Oreochromis niloticus: one gene and its partner. The protein of the gene in region 1 interacts with the protein of each later gene in a pairwise test. Links are inferred from orthologs where the notes say so. Each region holds a gene or a part of one and is shown in the gene's direction. Other genes may lie near its edges.

What was found.
Region 2: the proteins of neuronal migration protein doublecortin (region 1) and zbtb5 interact in binary tests that used the Homo sapiens proteins (3 or more experiments, as listed by UniProt). The two-hybrid records come from large-scale screens. The link is inferred for Oreochromis niloticus from reciprocal best matches to the Homo sapiens genes DCX and ZBTB5.

Annotation. Positions count from the first base shown.
Region 1 is NC_031975.2:12,236,628-12,248,041, forward strand, and holds the start of neuronal migration protein doublecortin, read left to right. Parts: upstream 1-7,021; 5' UTR 7,022-7,174; intron 7,175-11,414. UniProt on the Homo sapiens protein: Microtubule-associated protein required for initial steps of neuronal dispersion and cortex lamination during cerebral cortex development. May act by competing with the putative neuronal protein kinase DCLK1 in binding to a target protein.
Region 2 is NC_031971.2:22,561,994-22,574,300, reverse strand, and holds the start of zbtb5 (zinc finger and BTB domain-containing protein 5), read left to right. Parts: upstream 1-6,784; 5' UTR 6,785-6,813; coding exon 6,814-6,845; intron 6,846-7,170; exon of another isoform or gene 7,171-7,307; intron 7,308-8,863; coding exon 8,864-9,077; intron 9,078-9,163; coding exon 9,164-10,024; intron 10,025-11,599; coding exon 11,600-12,307. Other genes in the region: fbxo10 (F-box only protein 10), read left to right, coding at 262-442; polr1e (DNA-directed RNA polymerase I subunit RPA49), read right to left, coding at 1,722-1,887, 2,077-2,208, 4,466-4,547, 4,639-4,769, 4,857-4,953, 5,127-5,237, 5,331-5,475, 5,578-5,633 and 4 more. UniProt on the Homo sapiens protein: May be involved in transcriptional regulation.

The DNA of each region.
Region 1 (11,414 bases):
ACGGAGTACTTTGAATTACACTTCTGCTGCCTTCCTGCCCATTTGGGTTTAATTCTACCCCTATCATTTGTTGCCTGGATTACAGGTTTTCAGTGTATCTGACATAATGAGAGTTTCAGACTAATGCCACCCTTCTCAGTCCTAATGGCACTGCCAAGCTGCCAGCAGGGCATCTGAGTAGGGGGGATCTAGTATTAGGCATATCCATGGACAGAGCGTTGCTCGTTTCCTTTAAACGCCCCTCCTCCCCGACTGAACAGGCAGAGTGCTCTGTCATCCTCCTCCAAAAGCCCCTCATTAGAAAATCTGCCGAGCAGACAAAGCTACTTGAGACAGCACAATGGTGACTCCCCACATGGTGATTTAAATGAGCATAAAGGGAATCCAGGTCATGCATTGCTTTTTTGGATCCTCTCCGTAATTGTAACTTGTCCACCCAGCCACCCACCTATAAAAAACATGTCTGTTTGGTCTAAATCACGTTTTAAACCTTTAGGTAATATTATTTACACTCCCACAACATGGATGCACATCACATGGCTGTTCAACACATTTTCTCAATGATAAAAACACACAAATCTAATAAATAATTGTTTAGATAAAATGAAAACTAGAAAAAGGGGCAGACAGAGCATGGAGAAAAGAACACCCATGTCTCATTCAGCATGCTATATAAGTTATATTCATAACAATGTTAAAAGTGACTTTGAGTCTATGAAAAAAATGCTTCTTTAACTGTTTGTCCCATGATGTCATCCTCTATTGCTCATCACTGTCTTCCTGGAGTGGCTGCAGCTGATTAGACTCAGAATAAGCCTCTCAGAGTTTTGCTGGGTATGAATAAGCTTCTATGGTAACTGACGAGGTCTCGTTTAATGATGCTGCCATTACTAAAGAAGTCCGTCCTGCTCGTCTCTTTACCGCAACACCACCATTAAATCATCAGGAGTCCTGCTGGAGTCAGACTGTGAAAGCAGATGTGTATAAATTACTTCACTTTAAATCGTCACGGGTCAGGGATTTTCACTCTGATACAATCATTAGTTTATTCCTTTCTTGTGTAGAGGATTTTCTTTATGTTTGATTAAAATAATGCAGAAAAAATGACATGAAGCAAAAAAAAAAAAGATTAAAAATTAAAATCTAAAAAAGAAAAAAGGAAAGAAAAAGTCAGGAGATTATCTGTGTCATAGTGATTCATCCTCCTGGAAACATGAATGTACACTTTTGTAGCAATTCAACCTACAGTTGTTCAGATTTGTCACTTTCAACCAAAATGATGACCAGGATTTTTTACCTACAGCATTTTTTATTCATCATTCAACTGCCCAAGTTCTTCGTTTATAGGTCCAGGTGTTTATCCTGTGGCTGAACCCCCATGGATTATTCATCCCCTTTGGATTGTTTTCTTATTTCACTCATCACTGTCACTCCTTGTTAAATCTCAAGACTAATGACACATGGCAGCACATTAACGATTTCTGCCCATCACAACTATAAGAGCAGCAGGATTTCCTGAAAATTACCCTGAACCCCAAACTCCTCAACTTTCATTTCCTCCTGCTTTTTCTTTTTCTTTTTTTTGTCATCACAGTCAGATCCAGTGTATAAGTGCATTTCAGAGCAGCTGGGTTTGAAGTGCCTTGCTCAAGGTCATGCTGACAGTTAATGCTGAGGCAGTCGACAGCATGTCTCCTTTACTTTATGCACTCAGATTTCGAAGCTTACCAGGGGATTTAAACTGATGGCTTTCCAGTTTCAAGTCTATAGTCAAGTCTGTTACTGTGACTCAGCAAAACACTGTGAACGATTTATGAATAGGAAGGTTATAGATTAGTTAAATGTGCTGAACTGAGAAGTGCACTGTCATCATTGTTGCATCACTGCAAGACATCAATCTACAATAAAGGTGAAGAGAGGACAAATGGGATCAATAATATAAGAAGGATGTTTTTGCTTGATTAGTGTGCCATCAGATGGGTGAAAATTTTGACTCGAGATCATCTCAGTAATTACTTTGCTGTAGTGTGTTACACCAGATGGAGTCATGCGGTGTCAGTGAATACTGCATTTCTTCTAAATGAAAGAGAAATCCACTAACAGTAAGATCTGAGTGTAGTTTATGTCGTTGCTTGATGGCAGATTTATTTCTGGACACTACACTGTTTCTGTTCTGCATTCTGCATTCGCCCTCAATCTGTAGCCCCCCTGTGTTTTCTGGATACCCACCTGTCTCTCAGTGACTTGACCACTTTGGGCCTGGTCTGCCAGCTTGTGGACATCTGTTTACTTCCTCCTCCATCAGTCGTCATGGTTGCAAACCCCCCTACAATCACCACCACGCACCCCCACCCTTGCCATCGGCCCTTCTCCGCCCTTCTCTCGTGTTTCCCCCAGACACCAGCTGTGAACCACTTATGCTTATCCTGCAGTCCACCTCGTTCAGCCTTGTGATAAGGACAGCAAGGACAGTAGTGCTTCTGGCCAGTGTGCTTTGCTCTAAGTTTGTTGACCCAGAAATATCTAAATAAACACACTAAAATTCAGTGTGTCCATGTAGATGTATAAAAACAAATTAGGTATCGGAAATTGTACCTGTGGTTAAATAGTAAAGAGATAGGCAAATATAGTCTTGAATTCTTCCTTGTTATTTGTTTACCACACTGGTGACCAACTAGAATGACCTTCAGAACTTTCTAGTTGCCATCCATATATCCTTTTTTTTATGGATGCCATTTCATCTTTTTTTTTTATTGTGTTGGGAGGTTTCCATCTCCATTTCTCTCCAGGAAAAACACTGACAAAATATGAGCAGACAACAAGAGAGAAGCTGTCAGATGTATTCAATGTGAAACACTTCCTCTTAACACTGGATTTAGTCATGTCACAGCAGCTTAAAACTCTGCGTTATTTTATAGCACTTAACACAACGCAGTGAAAAGGGAACCAAAGTGATTTGATTGTCAAAAAACAAATAACTGGATGGGATTTTCAATTAGAATTTCCCAATCAGCTAGTAAGTTATAGCATATGACCTATTAGGAGTAAAGGGAGAACAGAATGGGCCCAGGTATTGAACCCTGAGGGACGCCACATGAGGTGATGGCTGAAGATGACACACTGAAATAAAAATAATTCAAGGCAGGAGTGGTTTCTCCCACCCACTGATTTAACTTGTGAATTATTTAGCTTCAATACTGGAATCAAGTGTTAGATTAAGACGATGGAGCAGCCTTGTGAGTCAGACTCTAAATGAAGAAACCAACTGGAATTTTTCCAACATAGTATAACTTTGGGGCCCATTTTTAAAAAATAATATTCAAGTGTCAGACAGCCAGACAGACATTGATTTAATAGCCAAAAAATGGAATTATGTGACCAGATTTGGAAAGTCGCTGAGTACATGTTCACTTTTGGCATGTGGCTCTGTGTGACACAGCACCCAGCTGAGAGCCAAAAAACCCAAATCTGCTTTCTCCCCATATGCCCACAACCGAATAAACCACCTCCTGCACTGCCGCTTTCTCCTCTATCCTCTTTGTCAGACTGCAGGCAGTGGCCCACAGCCCTTGGGGAGCTCACTGAGGGAGGTGTGGCGCAGCCAGTGATCAGAGTGAATTAGAGTTATGTGTGACATGCAAAGGAGAGGCTCCAGAATGTGACAACAGCTGAGTTTTAAAGTGAAGCCTTTTCCGCCTGAGGGGAGAGGAATAGACGACAAAGACACCGAAGCCTGCTGTGAGAAGAGTCAACTTCTTTTGTTGGCTCTTTAAAAAAACAGAGACCTGTTATTCATTTGTCTTTTCATTTAACACAGTGGGGTACTTAACAATGTTTTTTTGCATCAATTTTAACATGGCTGCCACAGTATAAAAAAAGCCATCCTTATTTCCAGGCCTAATTAACATCCTGATGCCTTGAGCAGTTAAATTCCCACATGCAAACATGCACATAAATGTCTAATCGAGTCAGAATCTACATAAAAAGGCTGAAATCTGAATCTACAAAATTTGACAGTACTCTATGTAAAACTGATTATAACTCACTTTCTATCTACATCCAAAATCCAGTGCAAGTTAGACTGAAAGAACACACTCAGTTGCCTTTTAAAGTATAAAATGGAATAAAATAACCCAAGATTTGATAACTCGTGAGCAGAACAGGGTTTGAAAAACATAACTTTGGGACATTTGGGCTCATAAAGAAGAAAATATGGTGTAGGAGCGCTCAGACTGATATTTAGTGAACCTTGAGGTGTTAAAAATTTAGTGCTGTTCAGGCATTATTGCAAAAATGCCATTCGTGGAACTCTATACGCTTGTTTTGTGGCCTGCTTTTGAGCCCCAGAAGTCATTTCTGGTCCATAAATTTCAGAACAATGGTGCACATTTGTTATGTGAAGTTTGGCTTGAAATTACATTTATTCCTGTTGGGAGTATTATGTGACAACTCTAAAGCGCTGCAGCTCACCTTTCCCCTGTTTATGGTGTTAGCTATGAAGCCTCTACTAGGCCAACAGAGTTTTCAGTGATATTGATACGGCACTAACATAACTGGCACAAAGATTTGTAAAAAAAAAAATCATAGCAAGTTTCATAGCCACAAGGGTTAAAACTGTTTACTTGCCAACTAATATCATTGTGAAACAGAGTGGCTTTGTCCACTGTTCACCCCCCCCCCCAAAAAAGAAAAAACTTAAAGGAAGTCTTTTTAATCGGAGTATAGCATCAATTCAGTTAAACTTGTAGGATACTAATCTGATCAGTGAAGTAGCAAATAGTAGCAAAAAGGGTTGTTAATCAGTTTCAGCTGCTTTGGTTGGAATCAAGGGGCAACAATGAGACAACCTCCAAAACAGGAATAGTTTTACAGCTGGAGGGCACTGACATTTTTCTCTCCTCATCTTTTCTGATTGATTTTTTACTAGTTTTGCATTTGGTTAAGGTGGGTGTGTCACTGCTGATAGCATGAGGCGGAACCTGGACCCTACAGAGATTGCACAGGTAATTCAACTCCTCCAGGATGGCACATCAATACGTGCCAGAATGTGTGCTGTGTCTCCAGGCACAGTCTGAAGAACATGGAGACAGACAGTTTTTGTAGGAGAGCTGGACAGGGCCAGAGAAGGTCCTTAACCCATCATCAACAGGACTGGGATCTGCTCCTTTGTGCAAGGAGGAATAGGATGAACATTGCCAGTTCTACAAAATGACCTCAAGAAGGCCGCTAGTGTGAATGTCCTGACCAAACAATCAGAAACAGACTACACGAGGGTGGCCTGAGAGGCTGACTCTAGTGTTCCCTGTGCTCACTGCCCAGAATACCAGAATTGGCAGGTCCACCACTGGTGTTGTGTATTTTTCACGGATGAGCTGGTTCACCCTGAGCACATGTGACAAAAGTGAAAGGGTCTAGAGAAGCTGTGGAGAACGCTATGTCACCTGTAACATCGTTCAGCATGACCGGTTTGGTGGTGGTCAATGATGGTCTGGGGATGCATATCCATAGAGCGATGCACATAACTCTAAAGGCTAGGCATCAGCATCCTGACTGCAATTAAGCATCAGGATGAAATCCTTGGACCTATTTTCAGACTTTACAATGGTGCAGTCAGTTCTGGGTTTCTCCTGGTCCATAAAAATGCCGGCCCTCAAGTGGTGAGAGTATCCAGGCAGTTTCTAGAGGAGGAAGGAAATGACACCACTGACTGGTTTCCATGCTCGCCTGACCTAAATCCAATAGAACACCTCCGGGACGTCATGGTTAGTTTGCCAACAGGTTGCACCTTAGAGCTCAGTGATGCCCTGATCCAGATCCACGAGGAGATCAATCAGGATACCATTAATTGTCAACTTAGGAGCATGATGTTACCAGGCATGCGTACATGACAATGTCAGGAAGGCCGTACAAACTCCTGAGTACCATTTTTGAGTTGTTGCAATGACATTTCTGCAATATGGACTAGCCTTCTGCTCTGTGCAATGTCTTTGAAATCAGCCCTCTGTAGGTTGATCATTTTCATTTCCATCAAACCATGTGGCATCCTTTCATTCCTAACACATTACCAAGTACACATCACTACAGATATACAGCATGATTTTTCCCACTGAGATCAGATGCAGTTTCAAAGTGTTCCTTTAATTTTAATTTTTTTAATTTTTTTGTTGTCGAGCAGCATAGTAACTGCTTTCTGCAGCATGAGTTCCTCTTTGTGTGACATCTTTAAAACGACAGCATTTCTGTGTAACATTACATCGTACAAACTGCCTCATAAGCAAAATCAAACTTTTGTTCCATTAGGGTCAACGTACCCATTATCAGGTATTTTATTTTTCCTGTTACCACTAAGTGCAAACACGCAACTGAAAAGTAGAATTCAAGTCAGAAAACAATCACCTTCCATTGAAGCTGTGGGAAATGTTCACAATGCACATGTTCTGCAAGAAAGCAAGCTGGCTGAATGCAAGCCGCCCTTTTGAACATGGGCAGACGTGATGTTTAATCAACTTCTGGGATACTAATATACAGTTCACTGACAATGAAATCCTCCTTTAGGAGAAGACACACACACAAAAAAGCCAAATACAATCACCGCGAGTTAGTCAAGCTTTTATCTGCTCCTAACAAAGAGCTCCACCAGACCAAAGGCATCAGACTGTGGTTTGTCTGAAAGGGACGCACTCGTGATGTCTTAGCTTCAGCGAGCTCTCACAGTTCACTCACAGAAAGCCACAATCTTCAAAATAAAACAAATAGCTGAAATTCTTACAGGAAAAAATAAAATAAAAAAGAATAAATGTTCTTCTCCCATCTTAACAGAAAGATCTGCCTCACACTCACACATCACATGATAAAAGCCGCTTTCATCTTTCAACCATGACTTGTAAATAATCCCCACCTTTAATTCTTGCTCATTTGCTCGTTAGGGCTACCTTTGGTGACCCTGATGGGAGCTCCACCCCAGCCCACACTGACTGGCACCTACAGTTTTTTTCCTCAGTGGGCGGGTCCACTGCTCTTTAGGACCCAGTGGCTGCTCGATTCAAGCAAGGAGTGACTCCGGCACTCAGACGGAAACAGACAAAGGCGAGGGGAGAGACGGCGTGCCGCTATCCTGCAGCATCGACTCACACTCACATCCACTCCCCCACACACTCCGCAATCAGCGACGCAGGTGAGTCCGCTACTGGGTGGGATAATCAGCAGACTTCAGTGATTTTTAAAGAAAGTATATATTACATTGCAGTGGTTTTGACTCTCAGGGGGCAACTTTGAATATCATTGTAGTATTTTATTTTTTTGCATTTTGGAAGTGATTATATCAGACTTTTTTCTTTTTAGATTTAGGCTTGAGCAGGTGGATTGTGGCGTGCGCACGCCCAACCCTCCCCTTTTATTTCAAGAAAAACTTGCATTTTAAGCTGCTGTCTCTGCCATGTGGCCACACTCCATCCATCATAAATGAAAAGAGTAGTGTCATGAAACTTTTCCTTTCATGGCTCTTATTTTTCTTTCTTTTCTCTCTCTCTCTCTCTTTTTTTTTTTTATACCTACCTTTCCGTGTGTTGGTGTGAGACATACCGCACGCAGATCAATTTTCCTGACGCGGACTGGAGAGTCATAATGTGGTGCTGGTTTGTCAGGAGTGTGGTGTGCGTGTGTGTGTGTGTGTGTGTGTGTGTGTGTGTGTGGGTGGGTGGCTCAGTCAGGAACACAGAACCAGACAAATATATCAATGACACCACACAATGATACCGCAGTGCTGCCTGATGTCCAGGTCTGCGCTTAATTTGGATGTGGGGAAAGCGCGCATATTTTAAACCAGATTTATTGATTAATAACGTCAAGTGTGTGAGCCACAAAGAGAGGTGATCTTTAAACAGTCGTGTCGAGATTAACACTAAAAAGCTGTGGGAGGATGTAGTTTCTGGACTTGAGCAGGAGAATGAGCCGGCTGCAGCAGGAGCAGCAGTGATGGTGATGTCACTCTGAAGGCAGGCACCCTGTTTGAGACAATGGACTGTCCTAGTGGTTGCTTTTCTGGGGAAGGGTCACTGCTCGCTCTGCTTATTAGTGCAGCAGATGGGCTTGAAACCTGGCCTTTGTCAGCTGAGGGGCACCCAGTAAACAGAAGTCCCTCCCCTGTCAGTGTGCTTATCATAAAACACCAGTCAGCAGATCAGCCAAAGGTTAGTATGCTTGGTGGAAAGGGGGGGGTCGACCTGCCACATAGATGGGTGGTGATTTGCCCCCCCCCCCCCCCCCCCCCCCCGTTTGTCAGTATGGTTATGCTGTAATCGCATACATCATATGTGGTACTGAAAGAGGCAGGATATTGGAGGATTATGGGCTGTGACATTGTGTCATTCACTAGTTTGTGTTTATGTTTTGACTAATTGGTTTAGACCTTCTTAACATTAGCACCAGGGCTGGATATATGCTTGCAATCAATATCACAGCACAACAGCTTGTTGTTTAAAGGTGGGGCCTCAAATTTTTATTATTTTCCAAGCAGCTTCTTCTTCTTTTTTTTTTCTTCTTCATTTTCATATAACCATATCGGGTCTACTGAAAGCAGAAAACCGTGTTTTTTGTACATCAGATGACTCGCATGTGAAGAAGGAAGTGAAAAGCTTTGTTTTAGTTTGAGAATTTTGCAAAACAATGACACTTAAAATTTCACATCCTACACACATCCACTGAAACACTCCCTGATGATTTGAAAGACCCCCGCCTCATATTACGGTGCAAGATTGACTTCCAGTGGCAGATGCCAAATGAATTCTGTCTTCAGTGACTTGAAAAATTTCAAAGTCAAATCTTGAGTTGTTAAAATGCCACTCGGAGTGGAGTTGTGTTCAAAGACCAGTGACCTTTCAGTCAATAATGACAAGGCCTGTGAAGATATCGGGGCCTGTAGAAGTGACAGAAAAGTGACACTTCACATTTGTGCTATTCGGCTCAGTCTCGTCAAATATGTTTTTAAAAAGAACAATCTCTTTTAAAGTTTAAAGTGGGGAGACATTGCTCATGGAGCGGGGCTTTAAACTTTGCACTTCCCCTTTCATGTGAATGGGTGTGGGCGTTTGATGGGTGTGTGTGTCAGTTGTTGAAAAAGTATCAGTTTGAAAGATGCCCTTCAATGAGTTTTTGTGGCTTTGGCGAGTTTATTTGTGGTCATCAGGTGGGAGGTTAACTAGCAGACTACTTCTTTTGCTATAAAACCTTGGGCAGTCAAACTCATAGAATAAGTGGTTTATTGTCCATTGGCTAAGCAGGTGCGTCATTTTCAGAATTTCTAAGAAACACGACGGGGGGATGAAGTCCTAGAAAACTTAAACTTCTGCTTCCTTTTTCTTTCAAATTATGAGCGAATCCTTAAGGAGACATGTGTCCTTAAGTGTTCTGTAGGATGTTTAATGCTTAATATACAGTATATATGTGCTAGAGCTGTAATTGAGGTCTAATATGTCTATTTGTTACAGATTATAATTTTTTTTTTAAATTCTTCACAGCTTAGTTTTAAAGTGTTGTAAATTTTCTAATGCCCTTATCTGCGATTTTATTTTAAAATTGTGCTTTCGTTTACTTTACCATTTCAGAAGTAGCTTATAAAACTAATATGCTTATAAATAGCAGTACTCTAAGTTTTCCCTGACTTGTGCGCAATAGCACTACTGCACACCTACTGTATAATTTCCTTGATTGCGTCGTTTAAATGATCTCAGATATCTAACGGGACAATATACAAGTTGACATCATCATTATTTCCAAAACCTTTTGTGTTAGTGGTTAGCTTACTGATTCATCACTTACTGATTCATCTGGCCAAGTGAGACAGCTGCACAGAGGTGTCTGTAGGCGGACTTCAGAAGAAGAGAGGGAGCTATCATATGTGCTACATGCCACATAAAGCAGTGTGGTTCTAACAGTCATGAAGTACTGCTGCACACTCATTGCATCTGGAGCATTTTAGGGTCATATTATTTTATGTGTTTAAATTCAAAGAGTCTTTATTAAAAGTCACGTGTTGCATGCATTTTTAAAATGTTAATGCATTCGTGGCAAAGATTTAGCTCGACATGCAGTATGGATTGATGACCAGCGGTTTTAGTACGTGTAGCTTTAAATGCACCGGTTTGCCGCTGCCCACGCCTCTTTCAGGAAGAATGGTGTGCCGGCTGTTGCCATGGATACCTTAGCTAAAACAAGGCAGTACCAATATGGCTGCTATGCAATTAATTTAAGTGAATGTGAGAAAGCGTCCCGTTGCTGTTGTGTCTGAGTGACTATTTTCTGTGTAAATATAACCTGCAGCTGTCTCTGAATTATTTGCATTGTTTTTTTTTTTTTCTTTTAGATATCATGATTAAATCTGAGTTTTAGCTGCACACAGTGCCAGCTTTGGAAATGCCTTATAAATGACAGCTGGTTAACATGAAGCCTTAATGGGCTCCATGTGTCATAATGATGTAATGCTCATTATGTTGTTTAACTACAAAAAAAGAAAATGATTTAAATGAGAGCAGCTTTATTGAAATAGTTGATGTGAGGACAGTCTAGGAGAGAAGAAAATGGAGGCAAACATTAGCCTGTTAGCTGTGCTCCCTGCTAACAGTGGGATAAATACAGGGGCATGAACGTTGCTACCAAGATGTCATGCATTAGTTTCTCAAATCCCATTTTGAAGCCTCAGTATTATTGTTTCCGCCTTCACCATCTTGGTTGCAAAAAATGGATGTGACAAGGAGGAGCAGATTAGATTGTGAAACTATATGGTCCTTGGCTAACGATTTGTAATTAAAAACGGACTTCATTTTTCTTTTCTTTTTTAATTTGGTATGACCCCAAATGAGTGTCTAACCCATAAATTCATAGGAAAGTGTTGATAGAGGTGAAGTCAGAAAGCTGTTTTCTCAAGTCTTTTTGCAACAACAATTATCACCTGGTGGCATTCCAGTCTGCATCGGCATATTTTTCTTTTCTTCATTTCTTATAAAACATATCCATGTTTTTATACCGTCTTTATATTGGATACATGTTTTTATACTGCATAAATATCAGGGGAATTAAAAATGGCAAATCCACTGGGTGTTAAGTTCCTCAGATGCCATGAGTGCACACATACTCCTTGTCTAAGAAGAAAACAATTAATGGGCAGTGCCAGGGCAGCACTGTACAAATTTAAGTTCAGTGACTATTGGTTTCCAGTTTTAATATTAGCGATATAATTGGCTAATCGTCTTAATCTCACTCCTGTGCCTAATCCTCACCTAGCTCTGGATTTTGGATTATTTAGACGCAGATTTATGAATAAGTCACAATCATGGAATTAAATGTTGCTCTAAGTGAAATGTCATGAATATACAACCATTAACTACCGCAGTATCTGGTGATACATTACAAGCACTTGT
Region 2 (12,307 bases), on another chromosome or scaffold:
TAATAGCAACGTTTTTGAATGAAGCAGTTTTTATGAGAAGAAAAAGCTCTAAAAATTCACTGTGTGCCATTTGCTCAGAATTGTATAACAATCAGTCAGTGACAGCTAGCTAGTGGCATGATTTGCAGCTTAAAAGTTATTTCCCTCAGGAGCTGGTGAAGATGAAAATGGTTTAAAAAACAAATAGGGGTGGGGTGAAAAATAATCTTAAAGGGCATCTCCTAATTGTTGCTTACCCTTTTTCCTCTCTTCATTTCATAGCTGTACATCTGTTCCCCCCTGGGTTATGGAAAACCCTCCTCCTCGCCCACTGGCCAGCTCCCCTGCAGGTCTCTCTTCATCCCAGTATCCCTCTGGACTTGGAATTTCCGTGACCACCAGGATCGGCGCAACTGTGGAAAGTGGTTGCCACAGCGGCAGCATGTTTTGCAGCATTCTGTGAATACTGGCAAGAACTTACAAACCAATATGATAGCCAGGGTCAGGAGGTCAGCATCTGGTTGCTCCTTAACTGCTGTAAACCATACACGTGGGGCACTGACTGTCAAAATAAGGGTTCGGTTAATTGTCCAAGTAGCTGGAGACCGCAACTGAAACATTAAAGGAGCCATCCACCCCCATTTTTATTAAGATGGAAGAAGACTTTGAAAATCTGAAATTAGACTTTTGTACTTCTATGATTAAAATGCTACTGTGCTCATAAAACGTGGGCTATTGAAAACCGAAGCTGGAGTACAAGACATTCATACACCTTTGGAATCTGTTTGAGACTAGAGCTTTGCCTAGTTTATCATTAGCTCATTTACTGCAGACTTGTTTGGTAGTCTTATTTTTGCTTATAGGGACTCGCTGGTTAGGAAGTGCACATTTCTAAATCCTAGCAGGAGTCAAAGGCTTCAGAAATGCTGGCTTTGACAGTGGGTCAAAGTAAAGCTGTGCCTTGGTTGACTATTTAAGGGATGGCTGTAGCGAGGGAAGGTGTTTTCATAGCGTGAGGGCGTTTATGCAACTAAGCCAAAACTAAGATTCTGTCTCTGTCCTGTCTGTTGGCGGGTCTCTTCTTGCGTAATGTCCTTTGTGGTTTTTAAAACTTAATGCACTTCGCTTTTTGAGACATCTCATTATTTCAGATCCTGTCAACATGCTGCAGAGAAAACTAAACAGATATCTGCATATGATTATGCAAAAAAAAAAAAAACTGTTGGTAGTCTAAGCTTTATAGTTCCATTTGTAGTCCACCTGCACTTAAGTTCGACCAACCAATCACATTTGATGGTTTGCATTTGCCGAAATATAATCTCACAACCATCCACTATTGTCTGATGACAGTTTAGCTTTTTTAACAGCTTATTTAATTTGTCTGCATTTGTAAAAAAAAAAAAAAAAAAAAAAAAAAAGCCAAAAAAAAGAGACCAGCAGACAGAAGAGGAAGTCCGTTATCAAGATATCCTGTCCACACACTCAGAAGGGGAAGATATGTAGTGTGCAATATGTGATGTCTACAAACGTGCCTATACGTTCCTGCTAGATGTTCTGTCATCTAGAATTTGTTTACAGCTCTTTAGTCTTTTTTTTTTTATCTTTAAATGTAAGCTTGTCACGTTCGACTTGAAGTTCACTTTATTTGTCTACAAAAGCATTAATAAACAAGCCTTGTTTAATGCAGCCATTTGTTTGATATTCATTTCTTTCTGTCCAGTTCTCGGTTCTCCTTTGCGTCCTCAGTGCATCTTTTTGCGTTTCCGTCTCTCAGTGAAGTGATCGTATTTGATCAGAGGCAGAACGAGGGCGGCCAGTCTGCTGTCATCTTGTAGTTCAATGTTATCACCCTTGCCTCGGGCTGGTTTCACCAAGGTCAGTCTCATTGACTTTGCGACTTCAGTCATCCTATAGGAGAGCACAAGAATCACAATAGTTTACAGTTTAAACAAAAACTACAGAGTAAAGAAGGAGGATAGTAGTATGTGTGGTTAAGTCCACATTATTGACTTCATTAATGATTTTACTCTTTATTTAAACAATGTATGAAATGTAAGAAATAATTTTTAAAGGCTTCCTTTTTATTCCCCTGCTTACCTTGCCTCAGTGATTCCCAGGTCACGATGCAGTAATGTGAGGTCAGCTGTCATGTTACCCATATGCAGCAGCAGAGCTAAGCAGTATGCTGCTAGTTTGACCCGCATTGACGATGACACCATGTTCTGGATTCTAAACAGAAAAGTTAAAGTAAAGAAAGTGCATCTTTTGAAAAGAATCAGTGCAGCAACAAATACACTGTTGTGGTCAGATGTTTACATAAGCTCATCATGGCCATGAATGTCTGCCATAAATAATTTGGCGATTTTTTTTTTTTTTTTTTTTTTTTTTTCATTATTTATTTGAACTGTTTTCCAGAGTGAAATGATAGTAAAGCATGCACCTTTAATAACTTATAGTTAAACAAAAATTAGGTGCACAAGTTTAAATTTATTTGGGATTTTCTGAAATCCACATAGGTCAAATGTATGCATACAGATTCAAATACATACACACACACACACACATCCCCACTAATATTTGGTTAATGTCCCTTAGTAAGTTGTACTAATATGAGATTTTTTTTGGCAGCCCTCAAGAAGCTTCTGGTGTAATTCTGGCTGAATATTTGACCACTCTTTTTGGTAGAATTGGTAAAGTTCATTTAACTTTGTTAGTTGCCTGGCTTTAAAGCACACTGAACAAATTTAAACAGGGTGAGTTGGGGGTTTTTTTGTTTTTTTGAAAGGCAATTCCAGAGGCTTAATGTTAGCCTGCTTTATTCATTCTAAAACCAGTTTTAATGTGTGTTTGGGGCTTCTTTGTTGGTTGGCACCCTCTCAGTCCATGGCAATGAAAAAGGTGCTTCACTGTGGACAGTGATGCTGGTGTTCCAGCGGTTTCCAGTTCATGGCAGGCTTAAGCCATGGTGGTTTCTGGGTTGTTCCTGACTGTCCTAGCCCACCTTCTCTCCTATGAGGGTGACATTTTTGGAAAAGTGATGACATATCAGCTGTTTAAACTGATGATGTTGGAATCTGTAGTTCTTTCGAGGGTGTCCAAGAAACTACAGTTCTCTTTCTTAGATCTTCAATTAGTTTCTTGGACTTTTGTATTATTCTGAGTATTATTCAATCCAGTTGGTGCTATCAAACAAACCCTTCTTATGCTGCAAAGAGAAACTAAAAGATGTAGTCAATCATGACCACTATCGAGAAGCTAATAGGCCTTAACTTTGTTAAAATACATTGTAGAACCTTTAACAACACTTACTAAATTATTTAAGTGAGTGTATCTAGGTGTATGCTGTACAATCATTCCACGCTGAGAAAAGAACAGTTAAAAGAAGTAACTGGAAAAAGTTGCATTTCCTGGGAAAATGCAGTGTGAATGGCGTGTAGTGGAATCTGCTGAAAACAGCAGAAGAAGCAGAACTATCTGCTGAAAAGAGTTGTAGAAGCTGAAGTGCTTGCTGAATTTGAAAGGGTACAGTGAAGAGTGTCAAGAAAGCTGAGTGCATGCAAGCGGGGGAACATGTGTGGCAACCGCCACAGGTAGGATTTGAACCTTCGCCACCGGATCTCATAGCAGCTGCTCATCCCACTGAGCTAAACCAGTTCTAGTGCCAATCAGAGATATAATGAGAAAAACAATGTGCACTGTGCAGAAGAAGCTGAACTTTGTGCTGAAAAGAGGTGAAGAAACTGAAATTTGTGCTTAAAAGAGGTGAAGAAGCTGAACTTTCTGCTGAAAAGAGGCGAAGAAGCTGAATGTTCAGCAAAAAAGAGATGAAAAAAATGAAATTTGTGCTGAAGAGGTGAAGACACTGAAAACTGTTTTGAAAAGAGTTAAAACAGTTGAACTGTTTACTGAATAAAATGCTGCCATAAGCGGGATTTGACCCGGCCCTCCTGGTCTGAGAACGGCTGCTCATCTCACTGAGCCAAAACATGGCTCAGCCCGGCAAGCAAAACTGGTGATCACACTGATAATGTGGTCCCATTCAGCAAAATGGGCCAAAAAATGGCATAAAAAGCTTAATATCTCAAAAAGTATAAAAGTTATGAGCACCAAAAGATATAGCTGGCATTAGCAGAAAGAGCAGAACAGTTGGAAATTTGAATGGTGAAAATCAGATGAAAACTGAGGGAGTAATTAACCAGCAAAGGTCGGAGCAACTAGAATAAGGTAGAGGAATAAAGTTTAAAGAGAAACAGGATCTCAATAGTGTGAATGCCTCACACAATTAAAAGCCCAAAATTACCACGACATTCATGCTCATGATGAGTGTATGTAAACTTCTTAGAACTGTATATATTATTTAGCTTCCCTGTCTCGGTTTAGCATTTGGTAAATTTTTGAATTACTAATGAAATTATTAATTTAGTGAAACAAAATCAAATTCCAGAAACATTTTTCTTCATTAGCTACATGTGTTTAACCACCATACCTGCCATTGTTGAAGGTCTCCACGGTGAACGTTTTAAAGAGTTTGCCCTGGATGATGCGAGGGCAGCCTTCCTCTTGCCCAACTGTACATGCAAACATGAATTACTACAACCCTCTAATGGTGAAAGTTTGTATACCACTTTCCACATCATAATACTAACAAAATTCACTCACACTTGCGGGTGATGTTCCTCTCCCGAGCCAGTTTGAGGAGCAGAGAGAGGTAGAAAGCACAGCGTGCTGTTTTGTCTCGGCTTTCACTTTCAGTTGGCAGATTCTCTAGATGCTTCACAATACTCAGGCACCTTTAGGTTAAAGATAAAAAGCACAAGATCAACCTCAAGTGCAAGAACACATTAATAAAATGTCTCTGAAGGTTTTGTTGCCCCTACCTTCCATCATCTTTCATCTTCTTCAGCTCTTCGGGGGTGAGTGCTGCCATTTTGGCACCACCCTGCTCCAAAGCACCAAACTCCACTGGGCTCAAGACTGCAGATATTCGGTTAAGGGTCACCTGAACAAAGTCTGGTACAGCTCTAGATAAAAACCTGCAAACACATGCATACGCTAGTACCCCATCTTGTAATCTGGGATTCAAATGGATTCCTTGCCTTCCTATTTCCATAAACACATTCCTCCTCCAGCACAGGAATAAAAGATACGCTCATCAAATGGATAGACGTCCTCTCGTTTGTCTGCGTTTGCATTGCAGGGGGGAAGGTGCAGAGCCAGGTCTCCTTGCGACTCTGCGTCAGCCACTTCTTGCTGCAAAGCTGTGCAGAGAGGGAAGGTTAAGAAAAAAAAACATGGAAAGAGAAACATTCTTTCGGATTTCTCCGAAGAGAGGCATCCACTGTGCAGCTTACCTTCCAGACCCTTCTCGCCAATCACAGTGTTGGCAGCCTTTGCCACTGCTTGCTGAAGGGTTTCACTGCCCACCTGATTCAGCCTGCGAGAGCTCAGAGCTCTCTTCTGCTTGTTGGTACCAAAGGCCTCAATCAATAAGTCAACCTGAAAGGGAAACATTAAAGGTAATAACAGGATATTCACATCACATTACACATAATTAAGCACAGATGTCTTTTAATGGACAGACAGCAGCAGCAAATGCACCTTTTCTCTGTAGGTCTGAGTAGTGTCCTGGGGTTTTGCACTGTCTGTTGTCTCTCCTGGTGACAAAAGTCATAAAAAGCGACTCTCAGAAGGCACACAAAGCATTCCTTCCACAGCTTCTGGTCTTTGTGGGCAGTTAAAAATAGCAACAGATATGTTATAGCTCTCTTACCTGGTATAACTGGTTGCATGTTGAACAGCTGAGCTTCGTGCACCTCCATCGTCATGGTCTGCTTGTTCAGCACGCCCACATAATATCTAAAGAGATGCCAAACATCCTCCTTATCAATCTCCTCCTCGGTGACCATAACATGCCAAAATGTGCAGCAAAGACCTACTTGCAAAGATTATTGCACTTCATGGACCCCACTCCAAAGTTCTGCCCCACATAGGACAGTCTGTCTGACTCGGCAACCTAAATAAAATAAACCAGGAAGAACACTGAGAGTATACCAACACAGCCCGGAGAGTGCAGACACACTCCTCATCTTCCTCACCAGTATCCGCCTGGTCTTTTTCCTGGGGTTACTTTCCTCCGTGTTCTTCAACATGCTGAAATCCAGCTTGTCTGCATTTTGGACGCTGCCGTTAGAAAAGCGGACTGTGGGATTGAGACAGAAACACCGGGAATTATACGTGATCAAACCTCAATGACCGATGTGACTGTACAGTGACACACGTGAGAGCCTCGGACACAACAACACGGTATAGTGCCCACGTGTGCACCTAAATGCTTTAAAAATATAAACTCTACAAAGCCCAACCCAGAGTCATGTGTCATCATCATCATCCCCGTGAAAAATTCTACATAATAAACAAATGAGGAATACTCACCGACGACAGCTTTATCGGCTTCTCTCTCCTCTCCGCAGCACACAAACGAGCAGGAGGCGGCCATGACTGTTGTCATGATGAGTTTTCATGCAGGGCAAGAGTTTACTCCTCTGTACTTCCGTGTTCGCTTCGCCAAGCCGCTGCTCTAATTTCTCCAGTTTTGTTGTGGATACTTTACCTGGTGCATTTCTTTATTTTGCCTGTACTGTTCCTTCTGCCATGTCTTTGTTCACTGGATTATAGGATTATCCTTTATACGGGCTTTAAAAAAATAAAAATGCCAAAGCATTTACCATCTCGATGCTGTTTATAATCTTTGGCTAACTGGTTGTGTGTGGGGATGCAGCAGCGACACCTTGTGGTGAAACCGTAAAGCTGCAGCTTTTCACCTCGGGTGAGGTCATGGACGCGAAAAAGAGGTACAGCGCCGCCCCGTGAGTCTGGTTGGAAAAACCGTCTGTCGGCGGGGGGAAATATTAGAAAACACAACACAGCATGACGCTACCGCTTACCAATTGATAGAAGGCATTAATATTATTCTAACGGTTATTCTGGCGCCGTGGCTGTGTGCTCAGCCTGGCAGGCGCTGGAGATCAACGGACACCGCGGCACCGTCCATCGCGGCCAGCTTTACGTTCCCACGGCCAAAACCAAACGAGCCGCTTCGGGGTCAAACCGTCAGGAAGTCGACCGCAGGGGGACGCGAGAGGTAGCAGCGGAAATGTTAGCTATCCACAGCTCGGCTTGAGGGGACATTTTGTGGGCCAGTCTCGGTGACCGCATGCCGCTGCTTTTACTCTAGCTAACGGGCTATTTGCTGGGCTGCAGCCAGCTAACTTTAGCTAATCGGGGCCCTGTTCTCCCTCTCGATACCTGCATTTTCCGGATTTTTCAAGGTAACCTAAAGTACTGCTGGCTCTCTGCTCTGACTTACAGTACCAGCAGACTGCTTCTTTTGTGCCATTTTACCGAGTCGCATCCCATGCTATTGTGTTCCAGTGCAGTTGTGACGTTAAATGTGTGTAAAGACGATGGGGTCCAATAAAGTTAGACCTGTTCGTCAATATATGACTTTATAGCAAGAAGGCAAAGGCAGTGGAAAACGCAACATTTGGTGCACAGTAATCAGTAAGCGAAATAAAATGACAGTACCACGGCATCCTGGCTGTTAGCCAGTAAATACAAAAACTGATCCAACTTCTCCCCCATCACCATTCAGACATCGTAGACTGCATCCACAGGTACTCAGAAATGTAGAAATACACATACTTGTTTCCAAAAATAATGAAGTGCTGCATTCAGACTCCGAAATACAGTGAAAATGAGCTATTTGGAGGACATTTCTATCAGCTGTTTTGTGCAAAGCTAACTTAACTTCATTAATAATATAAGAATAAAACAATATTATGGGAGTTCAAACATTAATTCAGCCCAAATTCAGATGCAAACTGATGCAAATGAGCATAATCGTGGGTTTAAGTTTGACTCGAGTAGGTGTGAGATCTCTAGTTTTGTAGTGCAGCATCACTTGGAAGTAATTTTTATTGTAAGCACAATGAAATTTTCTTTGTTTTCGGGCTGGGATCAGCTGACCTGAGTTGCTGCTCTTGTTGGCTGTCAGGGCAGATTTCTGACACCCCTACACACTATAAAGGTGGAATTCAGTGAATTAATCTCCTTAGTATAACTTTAAATTGACATGTTTCCTTGTTACAGTGACCATAAACGCCACATCTGTAAACTTCTCCACAGTACCGCAGATTAACTGGTTTACCCTGCCATACACTGCCTTTTCATGCAACCTTGGAATAGCAAAAAGTTAGTATACACTTAACATAAGCGACACATCAGGTATAGATCTGGTATCAGTTCACAAGTGTCTAAAATGAATGAGGATGTTATGTTTCAGCTTTAACTTCCCAGTCGGTTAAATGTCACGGAGCAGTCCTTACCTTTTAAAATCTAACCTCTCTCCATCCTCTCCTGTCTTACTTCGATAAATAAACTTTTTTTTTTTAACATTTTGAAGTGTGACAAGTGTTGAAGTGACACATATTGTGATTTATCACTTTGTCCCCAATTGTTTTATCCAGTAAGATAACTTCATCTTACTTAAGTTTTTTATTCTTTTTTTAATGCATAATGGATTGTCAAGCAAGCAAGCTGCAGTCAGTGTGCTACTGAATGGGGTCAAGTTGGCAACTACATACAGTCTGTTTCTTGTAATACAGCAATTAACTTAGAACTATTGGTTTGGGCATTATGATGATAAGGGTAAGAGTACGTAGGGGCAGTAAACTGAATTTCCCAATTTGTGGAAGAACAGTGAAGTTTGAAAAGCTCCAGGTCGCTGCTGATTGGTCAGATGCAGTGACATCAGTAGATCACCTGATCTTTGCTAACTGACTGTGGTTCTGCATAACTCACCTACCCTCTGCTCCTCTGTCTGCAGGGCCATGGATTTCCCAGGCCATTTTGAGCAGATCTTCCAGCAGCTGAACTATCAGCGTGTCCATGGCCAGCTTTGCGACTGTGTCATCGTGGTAGGCAGCCGACACTTTAAAGCCCACCGCTCCGTGCTGGCGGCCTGCAGCACCCACTTCAGAGCGCTGTTCACTGTCGCAGAGGGAGATGCTAGCATGAACATGATCCAGCTGGACAGCGAGGTTAGAAAGAAAACGCTGTCAAAAAAGCGAAAAAAGTGTTTTTAGTCATTCTAATGGTGATTGAAACCACTGTGTGCGTTCTGCAGGTGGTGACGGCCGAGGCCTTTGCCGCTCTCGTGGACATGATGTACACGTCGACACTGATGCTCGGGGAGAGCAATGTCATGGATGTTCTCCTCGCAGCTTCGCATCTGCACCTCAACAATGTGGTCAAGGCTTGCAAACACTACCTGACAACACGCACGCTGCCCATGTCCCCCTCATCCGACAGAGCTGCCCATCACCACCCACAGCAGGAGCAGCAGAGGCACAGACAGCAGCAGCATCAGCAAGTAGCTGATTTAGCAGTGAACCCGACATTAGCAGCTAATGCTAACCTTGCAGCAAATGCTGCCACTTCAAAGCTGCAGCGCTCCTTCTTACTGCAGCAGCTGGGGCTCAGCTTGGTGAGCTCTGCTTTGGGTGGGATGGAAGACGACCGGGCGGGAAATGTAGTTGGCAGTAGGGTGGTTGACCAGAGGGCCTCCTTCCCAATCCGACGCTTCCACAAACGAAAGCCCTCTCTGGCGTTGGGGCTTTCAGAGGAGAGACCCAGACAGAGACAGCGTCCTTCGGCGCCTAACCTCGGGTTGTTAGGAGAAGAAGGGGTGAACGCAGAGCGGGAGGATGGAGCACTTCTCTCCCCAGATTCCCACAAGATGGGGGACGAATCTAAACTTGACCCTGCGATCACTGGGTTAGCAGCTGCTTCCCAAGATGACCCTCAGATGCCGAGTCAGTCAGATAGTGGACGCTGCGAGGAGGAGAACTTGGGGAGAATTCAAGGAGTAAACAAAGAAGAGGACATGGATGACCAGGATCAGCAGGACAGCAGAGCAGGGGTGAAAATAAAATCAGGAACAGAGGAGGAGGAGAACGAAGAAGAGGAGCAGAAGGTAAAGCTACAGATTTGTCTCTTCAGTGGGCAGGAATATTTCCATAGATAAAACTCTCCAGACCTCTCAGGCTTGTCTGTATGAAGTAAACAAACTTAACAGAAATTGTTGGTTTGAATGTCATTAATGCAACCAGGGGTTAAGGGATTGGACAGAAGAGGGAAGTCATAAGATCGGGTGTAGCAATGCAGCAGGGGAAAATGACTCACTTAGAAAAGAGTCACACATAATTTCTGTTCTGAGGATTTGATTTCCTTGCGGATGGACTGTGACAGCTGACCTGTGCTGGCTCTGAGGTTCACTGGTCTTTGTGGGTTTTGCTTGCTGCAATTTACGAGATATTAACAGATGTTACATGAGCTGTCGTGGCCACTCTCCAACCTTTGGGCGGTGTAATGTCTAAAGGTGGAGATTGGCAGGTGAAGGGTAGTAAAGAATGTCATCAACTTAAATTCAAACTAATGACTATTACCCTGAAGCCTTGATTACATTTTCCGCATCTACTTGGATCCAACAGACATAAATTTGACCAGCGTTTTTGTGGCCTCGTTAACTAATGTGCAGATAATTGACATTACAGTCCATGAACTACACACACACCCCAGGCAGAAGAGTTCAAGCAGACTTCAAAGAAGTATAAACAGGAGGGACAACTCGGCCATCGAGTTTCTAGCTGTCATAACCAGTCCTAACAGTGATCGTGAACACCCATCCTGCACTTCATTACTGTAAACTGTACCACAGCACTGCAGAGTACCTACTTTAGCCTGAAAAGACTGTCCAGTATAGATTTTAAATAACCCCAAATTGTCATTTAACAGTATGGAATGATTAAATAAGTCAAATAAGGACAGATTATAACAATAATTCCAAGTTTTGAATATCTATATCAAGTGTCAATTGTAAGGTTGTCACGGTACTAGAATTCCACACTACTGATACCAATCATCAGAACACTACTCGAAGCTCCATACTATTGTCGATACCACCCACCCACACGCACACACACACACACACACACACACACACACACACACTCTGCAGCAGTAGCAGTAATGGCGAAGAAGCCATTTCTTGCAAAAGTTAACTTGTTAATTTTCCACTAAGTATTTCCAATTATAGGTTAGAGTTAGAAAAAAGTATTTATGATTAACTTTAGAGGTTTTATTCGTTTTACAACTTATATAGAGGAATTTATCACCATGGCTTAATACGCCACCCTGGACCTGCAAATTACTGTTACAGCTGCTAAGACGACACACGTCAACAAAGTAGCATCGCACTGTGACAGAAGAATGGGGAAATGGTTGGATGTTAACTCTTTATTTCGAAATGAAATGCTAGAAAAAATACAACGTCTTGGTAAGGCAAAGCAGGCTTGTTCAAGAGATTATTTTACAGCATCTGATGTTACCCATTCGGGAGCTGGCTCTGAGGTTTCTGTGAGAAGTGTCCCCACAATAAAATTCTGTCCAACTGTGAGACCTTTAGGCAGTGTTGTGAATATTAATTCTTACATTAAAATTTGAGGTCTTATCTCCCTTGGCCTTAGATGAAACATTTCTTTCCTTTTCTTGCTTTTCTTAGGTGGTTGTTAAACGTGAGCCGCTAAGTTCTCCCGAGCCAGCTGATGAAATTAGCGACGTCACATCGCAGGCCGAAGGCAGTGATCCTCCTGAGCCTGGGTGCCAGGAGGACGAAGAGAAGGTGGAGCTGAGCCCAGAGAGCAGCGACCGCAGCTTCACTTCTGAACCCCAGCCCAGCTCCGACTCTCTTCTCCAGCCCAGCTCCCAGCTCATCCTCAAGAGCAGTATAGGAGGAGGAGGCGCGAACGGAGGTGGTTTTGGACTGAGTGGCAAACCTGGGTTCAGCATTTCCAGCTTCCTCAGCCAAAAGGATTTTGCGACTGGCAGCTCAGGGATGGTTGCCGGAGAGGACGACCTTCCGAACACAACAACTGGGGATGCAGTAGCACATCGCTTTCTGCTGAGGCAGGAAGCTGCTGGCACTTCTGGCTCTGCTTCTTCCTCTCTTTTGCAATCAGGCCCACTCAGTGGTGAGAGTAGAAGCAGTTTTGGAGATAATCTGCAAGCCGATTCTCTGTTCCTCCGCCCCCTGCATGATGGTTTAGGAAACCCCAGAGGAAATGGGGGAAATTCAAGAGGAGGACGTGGAGGAGTGGATCCTTTTGATTTGGAATTCCAGCGCTCAAGTTTGGGGCTTCATTCACTGGGACGGCCCTCAAGAGAGACAGGAGGAGTCAGCGGCACAGGTCTGAGTTATCCAGGCTACAGA